Linked DNA regions of Cricetulus griseus. The protein of the gene in region 1 purifies or fractionates together with the protein of each later gene. This does not show direct contact. Links are inferred from orthologs where the notes say so. Each region holds a gene or a part of one and is shown on either strand. Other genes may lie near its edges. The genes, in order: Cep76 and Cep97.

The links.
Region 2: the proteins of Cep76 (region 1) and Cep97 purify together in Homo sapiens (co-immunoprecipitation; 4 studies listed by BioGRID and IntAct, with this or other methods). This does not show direct contact. The link is inferred for Cricetulus griseus from reciprocal best matches to the Homo sapiens genes CEP76 and CEP97.

What each region holds. Positions count from the first base shown.
Region 1 is NC_048595.1:171,768,745-171,775,995, forward strand, and holds part of Cep76 (centrosomal protein of 76 kDa), read left to right. Parts: intron 1-207; coding exon 208-363; intron 364-2,453; coding exon 2,454-2,526; intron 2,527-3,457; coding exon 3,458-3,682; intron 3,683-6,289; coding exon 6,290-6,475; intron 6,476-7,251. UniProt on the Homo sapiens protein: Centrosomal protein involved in regulation of centriole duplication. Required to limit centriole duplication to once per cell cycle by preventing centriole reduplication.
Region 2 is NC_048597.1:36,120,980-36,128,712, forward strand, and holds the start of Cep97 (centrosomal protein of 97 kDa), read left to right. Parts: upstream 1-3,373; 5' UTR 3,374-3,484; coding exon 3,485-3,527; intron 3,528-3,584; exon of another isoform or gene 3,585-4,462; intron 4,463-7,117; coding exon 7,118-7,260; intron 7,261-7,733. UniProt on the Homo sapiens protein: Acts as a key negative regulator of ciliogenesis in collaboration with CCP110 by capping the mother centriole thereby preventing cilia formation. Required for recruitment of CCP110 to the centrosome.

The DNA.
Region 1 (7,251 bases):
ATTTGTGGGCAACCAGCAATAAAGGTAGCTAGTTGATGACCAACCAGTTCAGATTGCTTCTACTATTTTGCTCAAAAATTTCCATGTCTTAAAAACTTGCTTTTATTGGCGTTGGCATTTGCCGTTAGTTTTTGAAGCCAAAAACTCTAGAAGTGGTATTTAACTGCTTTATAATGTTGTAAATTTTAATGTGTGTCTTCTCCACAGATGGATGTCCATGGCAGAATAAGAGAAATTCTTGCCGAGACTATACGAGAAGAATTGGCACCTGACCAACAACATTTATCAACAGAAGATCTGATCAAAGCTCTTAGACGTCGAGGAATCATTGATGATGTAATGAAAGAACTTAATTTTGTGACTGTGAGTAATTTTCTAGGTAAACAAATTGAAAGTGTGAATATTTGCTTATGTCTAAATTTATAGGGTCCATACTTAGGGATCCTCTTTTGTAAATCCACTGTAAGTTCAGTCTGTCTAGTGATAGCCATTTTTCTTAGGGTTTTGTTTTTTTGTTTTTCGAGACAGGGTTTCTCTGTGTCCTGGCTCTGTAGACCAGACTTGTTTTATGTGTACGGTTGTGTTTTGCCTGCATGAGAGTTTGTGTACCACTTGCATGCTGGTTCCCTTGGTTTGGAAGGGTTTTGATCCCTTGTAAATGGAGTGAACCACCATCATGGTGTTGTGAATTGAACCCAGGTCCTCTGCAAGAGTAATAGGTGCTCTAAACCAGTGAGTCGCCTCTATAGCTCCTATAATATCCTTTCCTTGGGTCGATTTTGTTGTTGTTGCTTTTTTTTTTTTTTTTTCCAGGCAGGGTTTCTTTGACTTGCTCTGTAGGTCAGACGGGCCTTGAACTCAGAGATCCTGATCCTACCTGTCTGCCTTCTGAGTGCTGGGCTTAAAGGCATGTGCCACCACCTTGGCCGGGCTCCTTTTCTGTGGTTTTAAGTTGGCCCCACCATGAGTTAGCAGATAGTGCTGATGAGATGGGAGATATACACCATCTTTCTCTGAAGTGTCAGAAACCCCTCCTGTTATTCTGTAGAGTTGTCATTTAGTTAGGCCTATTTTTAAAAGCAAATACACTTAGAAAATTCCTTAAGAACTGACTTCGTAAACCCCTCAGATCTCTGTACAAATAGGTCAGTAGTGGGCTGTCTCCTGCCTGGTACACTCAGTAAGTAGGCCTTATATTGAAAATGAGGTGATAATGAAGAACTGTGACCTCAATACAGGAATACTCTATTAAAAATAGGATGGACTAGTACCCTAGAGACCTGAGTACTTTAATATGCTTTATCTTTTGGGTTTTGAGAGTTGTTATAAAAACTGACCTATTAACAGCCTCTGCTTCATGCATGTTACTTTTTATGTTTTTGTTTTGTTTTTCAAGACAGGGTTGCTCTGTAATTCTGACTGTCCTTGAGCTTTCGATGTAGACTAGGCTGGCTTTGATGTCAAGAGATTCTCCTGCTTCTGCCTTTCAAGTCCTGGCATTAAAGGTATGTGCCACCACTAGGTGGCCGAATGTTACTTTTTAAAAATCAGTTCATGGTGGAATGTTTTGTTGTTGTTTTTGAGATAGGGTCTCATTATATAGTTCTGACTGTCCTGGAACCCACTATGTAGACAAGGCTGGCATTGAACTCACAGAGATCTGCCTATCTCTACCTCTTTAGTTTGGGGAGTAAAGAAAGGCACATGCCACTATGCCCAGAAGCCAAATGTTATATAGGGTTTAAAGGAAGTTTAGCAATGTTTAAGGTATAGGTTTGCTTTTAAGGCCAGGCTTGGTGGTGCACACCTTTAGTTTCAGGATTTGGGAGGTGGACAGACAGATCTCTATGAGTTGGAGGCCAGTCTGGTCTGCATAGCAACCTCCAGGACGGCCAGGGCTATATAGAAAAACTCGTCTCAACAACAACAAAAACTTTTTAAAAAAAAATTGTGGATGGCAAGAATTAAAAACAGTTGAATCCCTTCATATTAGACTTTTACGAGTTCCATCTCTCATGAAGCTATGTATTTTCATTTTAATTAGGCTAGGAAAATAAAGCCTTTTTTTTTTTAAGATTTTATTTATTTATTTTGTATATGGTCTTCTGCCTGCATGCCAGCAGAGGGCACCAGATCTCATTCAAGGTGGTTGTGAGCCACCATGTGGTTGTTGGGAATTGAACTCAGGACCTCTGGAAGAACAGTCTGTGCTCTTAACGGCTGAGCCATTTCTCAAGTCCTAGAATTTTTCTCTTTCCCCCCTCCTCCCAGGCAGGGTTTCTCTGTGGCTTTGGAGGCTGTCCTGGAACTACCTCTTGTAGACCAGGCTGGTCTCGAACTCACAGAGATCCCCCTGCCTCTGCCTACTGAGTGCTGGGATTAAAGGTGTGGGCCACCATCACCCCCAGGCTGAATTTTTATTTTCTAATTTGTATTTTTCCCTACTTTTCTAGGACAGTGTTGATCAAGAACTCCCTTCTCCAAAGCAAATTGTTGCTTTTGATAAGCAGTCAACATTAAAAAAAAGTATGTATATACATATATATTTTTAACATAAACTTGGTTGTGATTGGTAATGGACATGTCATAGTGTTTGGCATTTGATAGAAATTCTTTTCAAAATGAAGTACTTAAAATTTGTCATTAGTTAACCTAAAACTTAGATGCAGTTTTGCGTGAAATATATGATATACTATATAGTACTGTTGGGCCAAAATTGGGAGCATTGTTTTCTTTTTCTTTTATTTTCTTTTATTTATTTATTATGTATACAGTCTTCTGCCTGCATGCAGGCAGGCGGCACCAGATCTCATTCAAGGCGGTTGTGAGCCACCATGTGGTTGCTGGGAATTGAACTTAGGACCTCTGGAAGAACAGTCAGTGCTCTTAACCGCTGAGTCATCTCTCCAGCCCGGGAGCATTGTTTTCTTATGTCTTAATGATAGATACATTTTATAAAAACTGGTGGTACAACACCTTTAATCCCAGTACTTGGGAGGCAGAGTTCAAGGTCAGTCTGGTCTACATATTGTGTTCCAGAACAGCCAGGAATACACAGAGAGACCCTGTCCTAAAAACAAAGAAAGAAAACTGTATGTGCTTGCTATTTTAATATAGTAAAATAATTAGATAAATATAGTTACTAAGTTGATAATGATCTGAGTTGGCTTGTGGAGGTGATAATATGCTTTACAAACAGCTAAAAATCAAAGTTACACCTAACCTTTGCATTGATTCTCTCAAACATAGTGAGACTGTGAATTCACTAAAGAATATCATATCATAGCTCTCTCCTTGCCATAACACAGATGATTCTGCAACATAGTAAATTGGGTGATTCATCTATTTATTTATTTGTTTATTTTAGTCAAAGTATTTCTATCAAGTCGTTTCTAATGTCTTGATCACATTTAATCAGTTATTTGGCAGTTTCCTCATATGTTGCTACACTTTGCAGCTAATATTGATCCAACACGAAGGTATCTTTACCTTCAGGTTTTGGGTGGAAAAGCTTTCTTGGAACATCTGCAAGAACCTGAGCCTTTACCAGGACAAGTTTGTTCAACTTTTACTTTATGTTTACATTATCGGAATCAACGTTTTCGCTCAAAACCTGTTCCATGTGCTTGTGAACCAGATTTCCATGACGGCTTTTTGCTTGAAGTTCACAGAGAAAGTTCAGGTAAGAATATGTAATGATACCTAATTAAGTTTGTTTGGTTTTTATTGAAGAACAACCGCCACAGCTTCTGCGATAGAGATTATAAACCCGGCCTAGTGGCTCAGCTTCTAATTCCAGCACTCAGGGAACAGAGGCAGTCAGATCTCTTGAGTTCCATAGTGAGAACTTGTGGGGTCGGGGAAGAGAGAGATTGATTACAGTAAATGAGTATCTCTAGTTTTCTTCTCCAGTGCTATTTTTTATTTAAATGAGTTCTTACCCACTTCTTTTTTTTATTTTAATTTTTTTAAAGATTTATTTATTTATTTATCATGTATATAACATTCTGCTTCCATGTATATCTGCACACCAGAAGAGGGCACCAGATCTCATAAGGGATAGTTGTGAGCCACTATGTGGTTGCTGGGAATTGAACTCAGGAACTCTGGAAGAGCAGTCAGTGCTCTTAACCTCTGAACCATCTCTCCAGCCCCCCTTACCTACTTCTTGCTTTACTAATTTTCTCTTATTTTTTGCTATGTTAATTGTTTTCTTTCTTTCTTTTTTTTTTAGTCAATTGTTTATATATATCATGTATACAGTCTTTTGTACCTTCAAGTACTGGAATTACAAGTACATGCCACCACACCTGGTTTTGTAATGTAACAGTCCAAGTTTGAATCTGGTTGTGGTGGTTCATGCTTATAATTCTATCACTTGGGAGATTTAAGCAGGAGGGATGAGCTAACGCCGGAGGATTTCAAGTTGGAGGCCAGCCTGGGCTACATAGGGAGGCCATGTCTCAACAACACAAAACACAAAATACACACACACACACACACACACACACACACACACACACACACACACACACACCTCAAAGTTTATATAATGTGGGGGGCGGTGGAGATGGCTCAGCGGTTAAGAGCACCGGCTGCTCTTCCAGAAGACCAGCATCAATCCCCAGCATCCACATGATAGCTCACAACTGTCTGTAACTCCAATTCCAGGGGATCTGACACCTTCATACAGATATACATGCAGGCAAAAACACCAGTGCACGTGAAATAAACGTAAGGAAAAAAGAAAAAGTTTATATAATGTATCAGTGTATTCGATATATTTTACTTACCAACCTAAAGCCATAAAACAAGCAGAATCGAAGAAGTCTGCCTAAATAATTTAGTGCCTTTAAAAGATGTCTTAAAGTTTTTAATTTTTTTCCTTTATTGAGCTAGGGTCTCAAATAGCACAGACTGTCCTTGAACTCAGCGTATAGCTGAGGGTGGCCTTAAGCTTCTGACTCTTCTGCCTCTTCTGCGTACACCCACTAGTGCTTGAGTTTTAGGTGTGTGCCAACATACATGGTTTATGTGATGCTGAGGTCACACCCAAGGCCTTGTCCATAATACACAAGCACTCTACAAACTGAGCTGCACCCTAGTCCTTTGTAATTTTATTTTTCTCCCTATAAAAATGTTTTTTGTTTGGGTTTTTGTTTTTGGGGATTTTTTTTTTTTTCAGGACAGTTTTTCTCTGTTCTAGAACTCACCCTGTAGACCTTTAACTTTTTTTGTATGGAGGCCTTCGTGGTGGGAGGCCAGTATGGTGGTACATGTCATTAATCCCAGCCTTTGGAAGGCAGAGGCAGGTAGATCCCTGAGTTCCAAGGACAGCCAGGACTACACAGAGAAACTCTGTATTGAAAAACCAAAAATACTTTGGTAATTTCTGGAGTTGAAGAATGAATGTAATTTGAGGATTAATATTTACATAGTGTTTTTTTTAAATATTATGTGTATGGGCATTGTTCCTGCATGTATGTATGTGTGTTTGTGCACAGTGTGCAGTGTCCACAGATGCTTGGAGAGGGTATGAGATCCCCTGGAACTGGAGTTACAGAGGGTTGTGAGCTGCCATGATGGTGCTGGGAATTGAATGCATATCCTCTACAAGAACAAGTGCTCTTAGCAACTGAGCCATCTGTCTAGCACCCTGGATTTTTAGGTTTCTCTTTTTGGTGTGTATGTGGAGTTTTGAGGTGGGTCTCACTATGTAGCTCTGACTAGCCTTGCACTCACAGACCCTCCCTCCTCTACTTCCAGAGTGCTTGGATTTAAGGTGTGTGCTAACTCATTTAGCTGATGGCCTTTTCTTTTGTAATAGTACATAATATAAGTTCTTTTGAAGATTAGACTTTTTATGGATCAGAAAGTACTGACTACTGTAAGTAACATAACTAAGTAACTTCTAAATAATTCATCTTATTCTGCTAGTCCTGGCAGTTGTCAGTCATAGAATGGGGTGATATTCTTCCCCCAGATTCTGGCATACTTTGAGAGACCTTACTAAATTATTTCCATCATATGTAAGCTTATTTAGAATACTTTTCAATAAAAGTGTGTGTGTGTGTGTGTGTGTGTGTGTGTGTGTGTGTGTGTGTGTGTGTATACACCCCAGTTCTCTTATATGTACACATATGTGCGTGTGGTGCTGGGTATGGAATCCAAGGCCTCGGGCATGCTAGGCAGTCACTACCACTTAGCTATATCCTCAGCTTGTAAAATGATTCTGTGTTACTAAGTAATACGTAATATAGTGTGTTTTTTCTTCGGTTTGTGTTGTTAGGTGATGGGACTAGAATGGCTGATTCAACAACAATGTTATCCATAAGTGATCCAATTCACATGGTGCTGATCAAAATAGACATATTTGGTGAGACTACTTTAGTGGCATCCTATTTTCTGGAATGGAGATCAGTTTTGGGCTCAGAAAATGGAGTGACCAATCTGACTGTGGAACTTATGGGTGTAGGTATGATGATTAATGTCACTTTCACCTTTTTATAAATACTGTTTGTTGGCAAATTTATTTTATATCAGTCAAAAGGGCTTTACAGGAGGGAGACTTGTAAAACAGGCTTTCATCAGAATTTCAGTGGTAAGTTGGCTTAGGGAATAGCTGGAAGAATAATGCCACCATAGTTCTTCAAAGTCAGTCTTTCTTATCCTGAGGAATTTTTTTTTTTTTTAAGATTTATTTATTTATTATGTATACAGTGTTCTGCCTGCATGTATGCCTACATGCCAGAAGAGGGCATCAGATCTCATTATAGATAGCTGTGAGCCACCATTGGGTTGCTGGGAATTGAACTCAGGACCTCTGGAAGTGTGCTTTTACTCTGAACCATCTCTCCAGCTCCAAAGAATGTTTTTTGTCTGCAAAATGAATGGAAATTCTGGAGGTTCAACATTTTGTTGTTGTTGTTGTTAAATATAAGGTTATAAAGAAAAGCAGGATTCTTTTAAACATATGAATAGGTGTATGCATAAGCTTCTTTCTGGTATGTCCTAGAGTACAGCACATCACCGTCGTCACCACACTGGTTCTTGGAGGGGGTGGGTTATGGGTTTTTTGTTTGTTTTGTTGGTTATGGCCAGAATCTCACAGTGTATTTTGGGATGTCCTTGAGTTCCCTCTACAGAACAGTTGGCCTGCCTCATGCTAGGATTATTGGCATGTACCACCGTGCCAGCTTCATACCAGTGGTTATTGACGAATGAGTAGATGTTCCTCTAGTTCGTTATTAT
Region 2 (7,733 bases), on another chromosome or scaffold:
AGCTTTGTTTATGATCCTCCCATGGAACCTTGTTGGAAGTTCCCATGCACTATTACAAGTCTCCTTCCTGAGCTACCTTTCAATTCATCCTTGTTATAGGAGCAGTTGAACTTTTCTAAACACAAGTTCCTTTGTGTCAGTCCTTCAGTGAAAAGCAGCAAATGAAAATGAATGGTGAAAGTCGACCGAGGCCAGCTTATGTTTGGCCTTGGAAAGTTGAATTTCAAGTGGGTGTTTCTGGGGGGGGGGATGACGGACAGAGAGAGAGCATTGTTTTGCTTGGATCATTCCATTAACAGTTGGCAGATGAAATTGGGAGCAGAGCTGAGGATCGAATACACAGTGCTGATAGAAGTGAAAGTAGGGTCTGGACTGCCAAGACACACTACCTTTTCTGAGAGGCTTGCAGGTCTCATTAGTAGAATTCTCCAACTCATTCAGAAATTGCAGGGCTTAATATTCAGGTAATTTAGTTAAAAAGGTTATCGGTTTGATTTTAGATGTTAAATTGGTGCCTGAAACACAAAAGCATGTCTGTGTCAGGACTGTGAAGAATTGTTGGGTTACTTGATCATCTAACCTTTGGGCCCTTTCCTGAGGAACTATGGGCAGATGAATCACACAAAACTGTCTCCCAGCTACTATTGTAAAGTTGGAAAAAAAAATCTGTGCTCCCGAAGTACCTTCACCCACTAACATTCCCGGGGCTCCTTTCTAAATAATGACTTTGTTCCATAGGAGAGATACAGAGCCCTTTCTTTACTCTCTCCTAGAACTATAGTCTCCACAATCCTCAGAGCCCAGAGTTGTCAGAAGTAAAGTGGGGATCCCTAAAATGACAAAAATAAAACACTTGTAGAGGACCCGAGTTTGGCTCACAACCTATATTGGTGGCTCACAACCACATTGGATGTCCTCTTCTGGCCTTCACAGACAGACAGACAGACAGACAGACACACACACACACACACACACACACACACACACACACGCACACACACCACACCAAAATAAATAAAATGTATTTTCAAAAGTAAACTGGGCTAGTTGATTATGAAGGGAAGTTTCCTTGATAATATTAGTGGGGGGTTCTTTGTTTTGGTCTTCTTTACTCAGAATTGGAAGTTTGAGGACAATTTTATTAGCATTTGAAAGAAAGAAGGGAAGCAACTATAAACAGTATGCAATGTTCTACTCTTTGGAGTAGAGTGCCAGATCTCCAATCAGGAGCAGAGGTATTCCATTCTTTTTGCCAAAATGAAATGTTTTTCTTCCAAAGGGTCTCAACAAAGCCCTGGCATCTTCGATGTCTCCTAAGACAACTGTAACAACCCCCCCCAATACTAAAATAATTTAAGAGATGAGATGAAATCGGGGAATAGATCCCATCCATTCCCACCATGCAAATCCAGAGGTCCAACTCCAGACTCGTTCACCAGCAGGGATAAATTGAACTGGAGCTTTGGTCATACTGTTAGGTGTAGGATGCTGTCAGGAAGGAATATGCTTATTTAAAGGAAGAGAGAACAAGAAACCAGTCCAGCTACCAGGACTTTCTTCTGACATCTCTACTTTTTTTTTTTTTTTTTTTTTTTTGTGTGTGTGTGTGTGTGTGAGATTTATTTATTTTGAGATAGGGTTTCTCTGTATAGTTTTGGAGCCTGTCATGGGACTCACTTTGTAGTCCAGGCTAGCCTCGAACTCACAGAGATCTGCCTGCCTCTCTCTCAGAGTGCTGGGTTTAAGGATCGGAGTTTAGCCACCTCCCGGCCTGGCTTCTCTACTGTTGATCCAGGACAGGAAACAAAAACATCATGGCTCTGGCCAAGGTCAAGAGAGGAAATGTTACTTTGGGGTGTGTGTTTGCTGGTGTCCTGCCCTAAAATGATGACTTGTTTCTGTTACTGGAAATTTTGGGAAGTCCTGTCAGAGCTGCCACATGATTTTGCTAGAGATTAAAAGAAAATCTGGGGCTGGAGAGATGGCTCAGCAGTTAAGAGCATTGACTGTTCTTCCAGAGGACCCGAGTTCAACTCTCAGCACCCACATGGCAGCTCACAACTGTCTGTAACTCCAAGATCAGACAAAACTGTAGGCAAAACAACAATGCACATAAAAAAATAAATTACTTAAAAAACAAGAAAATCTGTAGGGATAGAGAGATGACTTGGTGATTAAGATTACTTGCTCTTGAAGAGGATTGGGTTTGGGTTCCCAGCACCCACATGGTAGGTAGCTCACAGCTGCCTGAGATGCCAATTCATTTTTGAGCTAGAGTTTCTCTGTCATGTAGCTCTGGCTGCCCTGAAACTCACCAAGTAGATCAAGCTGACCTTCAACTCACAGATTTGCCTGCCCCTGTCGCCCTCCCCCTCGCCTGCCAGTGCTGGGATGAAAGGTTTGGGCTACCATGCCTGGCTTGCTTTGTATTTATACATGTAAAGTAATAAGACTGTTTTCCAAGAAAAGGGTCTCTTGGTTAAAAAGAAGGGGAATCCTTATTCTTTCTTCAGAATTAAATTATCTTTAGACTGAACCAATGGGAAACAGAAAAGTTCTTTAAGGGCAATGATGTCAACGAAAAAGGAATACAGGGAAGAGAAAATGCTTTTAGAATCATGAACCAGAAGTGCTGGAAGCCTGAGTTACTGGATTTTCCTCAACAGAAATGCCCAGACTTTGTACAGTGCCCTTTTGGCAAGCCTGGCAGTCAGTGTGTAGACAAGCTGGTGAAAAAAGGGAGAGCTCCCTTTGAGCTACGGAGCTACCTTTTAAATCCTAGCTTAACTTTCCCAAATATTGTAATTTCCACTACCTATCATACTGAGTTCATAGTTAAATCAAAACAGGATAAGCTTGTGCCCTTCTAACTGGGCAAAGTAAGTATTCTTAACTTTGGAAGCTATTTTAGACTACTTTTGAACACTCAAGAAAAAGTTCTGTGCACTTACGTATCAAATATAGTCCTTAGTCAAAAGCTCTGTTGAATGTGTAACAACTGTTTCTGAAGCTTTAAAACCATTTAGTTAGGTGAAATTTCAAATACAATGTGTCCATTTTGACTGTCTCAAAATATTTAGTCATTCCTATAGCGAATCTCAAATCTTTTAAACTTAACTCAGAATTGCCAAAATGGGTAGCTGTCATAGAGACTTCTAGCAAAGAGCTCTCAAATTGTTTACTTTAAATAACATCCTTATAATGTGCCAGGTGGTAAAAGTGTCAGATTTCTCAAACACCTGGCCCTGGAGTGAAAAGATTCATCTAACAATGCAGCTTGCTCACCTATCAAGGTCTCCTAAGCTCTTTTTTTTTTTTTTCTAAACTACACTCACTTTCTAGCCTGTGATTCCCATCAGGCAGCCGATTGGGCCGACTGAGTGCTGTGCATCCTGGGAGTTGTAGTTTGCAGTTTCCCACCTCTGACTACATAGTCTACAGAACGGCTGAGGACGGTTGCTGGTGTCATTAGCAAGCAGCAACTATGGCGGTAGCGCGAGCCGACGGGGCTCTGGCTCCGGGAGAAGGTAGGACGATTCCCATCCCTGAACTCCAAAGTTTACTTCACTAAATCATATTAAATAGTTGCTTAGTGTAAAGAGGAAGCCTGGGTTTCGAGGTGCAGTTTTGGACCAGTTCTTTTGATACGGGGCTGTAGGCAGCGCGGAGGCGCATTACCTACTGGGAGTTGTAGTCCCGCTCTCAGGTCCGGTTTGGCAGCATGCGGTGAAGGCGGCTGGATGAGGGACTTCAGCCCCCAGGAGCCTTCGCGGTGCCCGGCGCCCCCGTCCCGCGCTCTCCCTAGTCTGACTGGGCAGTGGGCTCCGGACTGCGGCGACCTTTCTGGGACGTTTACTTTGAGTTCCGAGTGCCCACGGGAAATTGGCAGAGTCTCTTTCTTTCCTCTGTCCCCTCCCCCATCGGTTCCGAGAACGTTCAGGAAGCATCTTATCTGATACCACCGCATCACAGTCTGCCTGAACTCTTCCTTGGAAGTGGCCAGTACCCGTGGTAGAATCTGGGGGTGACCGGGACACCCGTTGCTCCCCCGTCATTCTGCAGGCCGGGTCCCGGGGTCGAGTTTGGTCTTTGTTTAGCAGAGCGCAGGCGAGGGGTGCGCCTGTGGCTGGAAGATGCCTCCGTGGGGCGCCGGACCTGAGCTTTTGTTTTGGTTACACTCTGAGGCGTGGTAGCCGCTGGCTGGATTGGGGCAGACAGGGATAGAGTCGGGGCTCATAACCTGGGGACCCTGAATTTTTGAGGGGAGGAGTTCGGCTAAAAGATGTGTCGACCTTTCGGAACTGTGTGCAAACGCTGGGTGCGCTTTTCTGCGACAGCATAGTTTTCATCTTTCAAGAAGCGGCTCACGACATCTCCCGTGCTAAGAAAACTGAAAAAAACTTTGAAACCTTCTAGAAGAGAGTTCCGAAAAATTTATTTCCCAGGGTATCCTAGTCTGATGGTAAATTTGAAATTGGCAGTTACTCTGGCCCCGCCCACTATGGTCGCTGCCTTTCCTAAAACTCTCTAGCCCTCCAAGACAACAGACGAGAGCAGCCTCTAGTATTTACAGAGCAATTTTTTTTTACAGCATTTTTAAAAATTTGAATTAGAAACAAGATTGTTTTACATGTCAATCCCAGTTCCCTCTCCCTCCCCTCCTCCCCTACCACCCCTCCCCCAACTGAAACCCTACCTATCACATATCCTTTCTGCTCCCCAGGGAGGGTGAGGCCTTCCATAGGGTGTCACCAGAGTCTATCATATCCTTTGGGTTAGGGCCCTAGGCCCATCCCCGTGTGTCTTGGCTCAGGGAGTATCCCTCTATGTGGAATGGGCTCCCAAAGTCCATTCTTATGCTAGGGATAAGTACTGATCTACTACAGGAGGTCCCGTAGATTTCTGAGGTCTCCTCACTGAAACCCACTATCCCAGCTATCAGACTGGGGACCAAGAGCTCCCTGATGTTCAGGTCAGCTGTTTCTGTGGGTTTCACAAGCCTGGTCTGGACCCCTGTGCTCATCACAGAGCCACTTTTTAAAAGCCAGATGATATTTTGAGCACTTTTCTTATATTATCTCAAGTTTTCATGTAGAAAATATTTATATTGTATTCTCACATTTTTTTCCCTCAAGACAGGATCTCATTATGTAGTTGTGACTGGCCTAAAACTCACAGAAATCCTCCTGCCTTTGCCTCCCCAGTGCTAAAATTAAAGATGTGTATTACCACAAGTGGCTCAGCCTCATCCCCTGTCCCCTTTTATGTTTGAGACGATTTCTTTGTGTAGTCCCTGACTATCCTGGAACTGGATCTGTAGACTAGACTAGCTTCGAACTCACAGAGATGATTCTGCCTCTTGGAGTGCTGAGATTAAAGCCCTGCGCCACCACTGTATGACTTTTTTCTTTTTTCTTTTTTTTTTTTTTCAAGACAGGATCTCTCTGGCTGTCCTGGAACTCACTATATAGACCAGGTTTCTCTGCTTCCCAAGTGCTGAATTAAAGGCATGCACCACTATGGCTGGTTAATTGTCATCCACAATTCATAGAGTAGGAAAGTTAACTCAGCGATTTGCACCTATAGAGGAAAGACATTGGAGGACACAGTGAGGAGGTAGCCAGCCTCTAGGAGAAAGGGTCTCAGTTACCAAACTTGGCAACACCTTAATTTGGGGAGCTTTCCAACTGAAAAAATGAAGGAGAAAAAGAGAAGGAAACTTGTCCATAGTGGTTAACCACAGCTATAGTTGGAATTCATGCTGCTGTGCTTTATTGAGCATTGCCTGCCAGGTCTGAGGCTGTGTGTGAATTGTTTGGCTTCACACCAACCTTGAGAAATCAGAGAATCATTTTATTCTATAGTTTAGTTAACTATACTTTGATCTTCAAAATATTCAGAAGTGACTGGGGAGATAGTTTAGTTGGTGTAGTCCTTGCTGTGCGAGTGTGTGGACCCAGGTTCAATCCTCCAAACCCAAGGGAACTTTTGGCAGCAAGAGCTTGTAATCTTAGTCCGTGCTGAGAAAAAGATGGATACAGGCAGATCCTTGGGGCTTGCTGGCCAACCAGCCTACCCTATTTGATGAGTTCCAGGCCAGCAAGAGACCCTGCCTCAAAGTGAGGGCCACAGAGATGGCTCAGTGGGTTATAGTACTTGCTATGAAAGCACTAGGGCAGGAGTTGAAATCCCTATTGTCCCTCCAAAAAGCTCCCAATGCGTGCCTGTAATGCCATGGAGGCTTGCTGACTTCCAGTCTAGCTCTAGGCTTCCAGGTTCATTGAGAGAGTGTTCGTGAAGAGAATGAAAAAAGGGACAAAGCAGGACACCCAGCCTTTTTTCTTCAGGCCTCCCTGGGCATGCATGATGTGACCCCACCATACACACTACTTTAGGCACTTGATATACTTGTAGTTAGGCCACAAACAGTTTGATCTCTATAAAAAATCAGTTCTAGGGCCTTGTATGGTGATAGCTATAGTCCCGGTACTTGGGAGATGGAGGAAATATCAGGAGTTCAAATCCAGCGTCAGGCGCATAGTTTATGCTAGCCTGGTCAGCTTCAGACTCTGTCTCAACACAAAATAAAACAACAGCAAAAGAAAAACAATCCAAAAAAAAGAAAAAAATTGAAGGATAACAAAAGGGAAATAATATCCATGGGAAAAAAAAAAAAAGACAAAACTCAAAAAAGAAACTTAAGACCAGCCAGGCAGTGGTGGTGCATGCCTTTGATCCCAGCACTCAGGAGGCAGAGGTAGGCAGATCTCTGTGAGTTCTAAACCAGCCTGGTCTACAGAGCGAGTTCCAGGACAGTTTCCAAAGCTACACAGAGAAACCCTATCTCGAAAGACTAAACAAACAATCAAACATAAAAAGAAACTTAAGCCCAATTTTAAAAATACTATTATTAGATACAAAATAAGGGAACCTCAGGGCCTTGCATGCTAGGTAAGGGCTCTGCCTCTGAGCTAAATTTTGAGGAAAAAAATGTATCATCCCAGCTCTGAGTTGCTATAGTTTTAAACTCTTGCTGCTTACTGTGCTCTGGTGTATATATATATTTTTTTCTCAGCTGTCATTTTTGCTTTCTAATAAGTTGTCTTCTCTTCTCAAGGCTCAGTGGTGAACTGGTCAGGGCAGGGACTACAGAAACTAGGGCCCAACCTGCCCTGTGATGCTGATGTTCACACATTGATTCTGGATAAAAACCAGATTATTAAACTGGAAAATCTAGAGAAATGCAAACAGTTAATACAGGTGGGTATGGGTTATATAAGACTAATTTATTACTAAATGAAACCAAAAAGTTATTCTCCATGCTTTGAGAGTAGTAAATGTTGCCTTAAAGTTTTATATGCTAGTTTTTGAAGATGAATACATGTATTACATTTCCAGTGATCTAGAGAAAGAAGCATCATTAAGTAGTGGGAACAGGGCCAGCAAGGTGGCTCAGTAGGTGGGAGTGCTTGGGCAGAGGCCTGGAGACCCGAGTTTGATCTGTGTGTGCCACAAGCAGAAGGAGAGAACGGACTTCTGAGAGTATGCTGGTGACATTTGCATGTGTACTGTTGCTCAAGTGTGTCTGCAAGTGTGATTCTTGAACACACACACACACACACACACACACACACACACACACACACACACACACACGTGCTCACTCTGTAAATATTTAAATTTTTTTTGTTTTTGTTTTTGTTGTTGTTTTTTTTTCCAGACAGAGTCTTTCT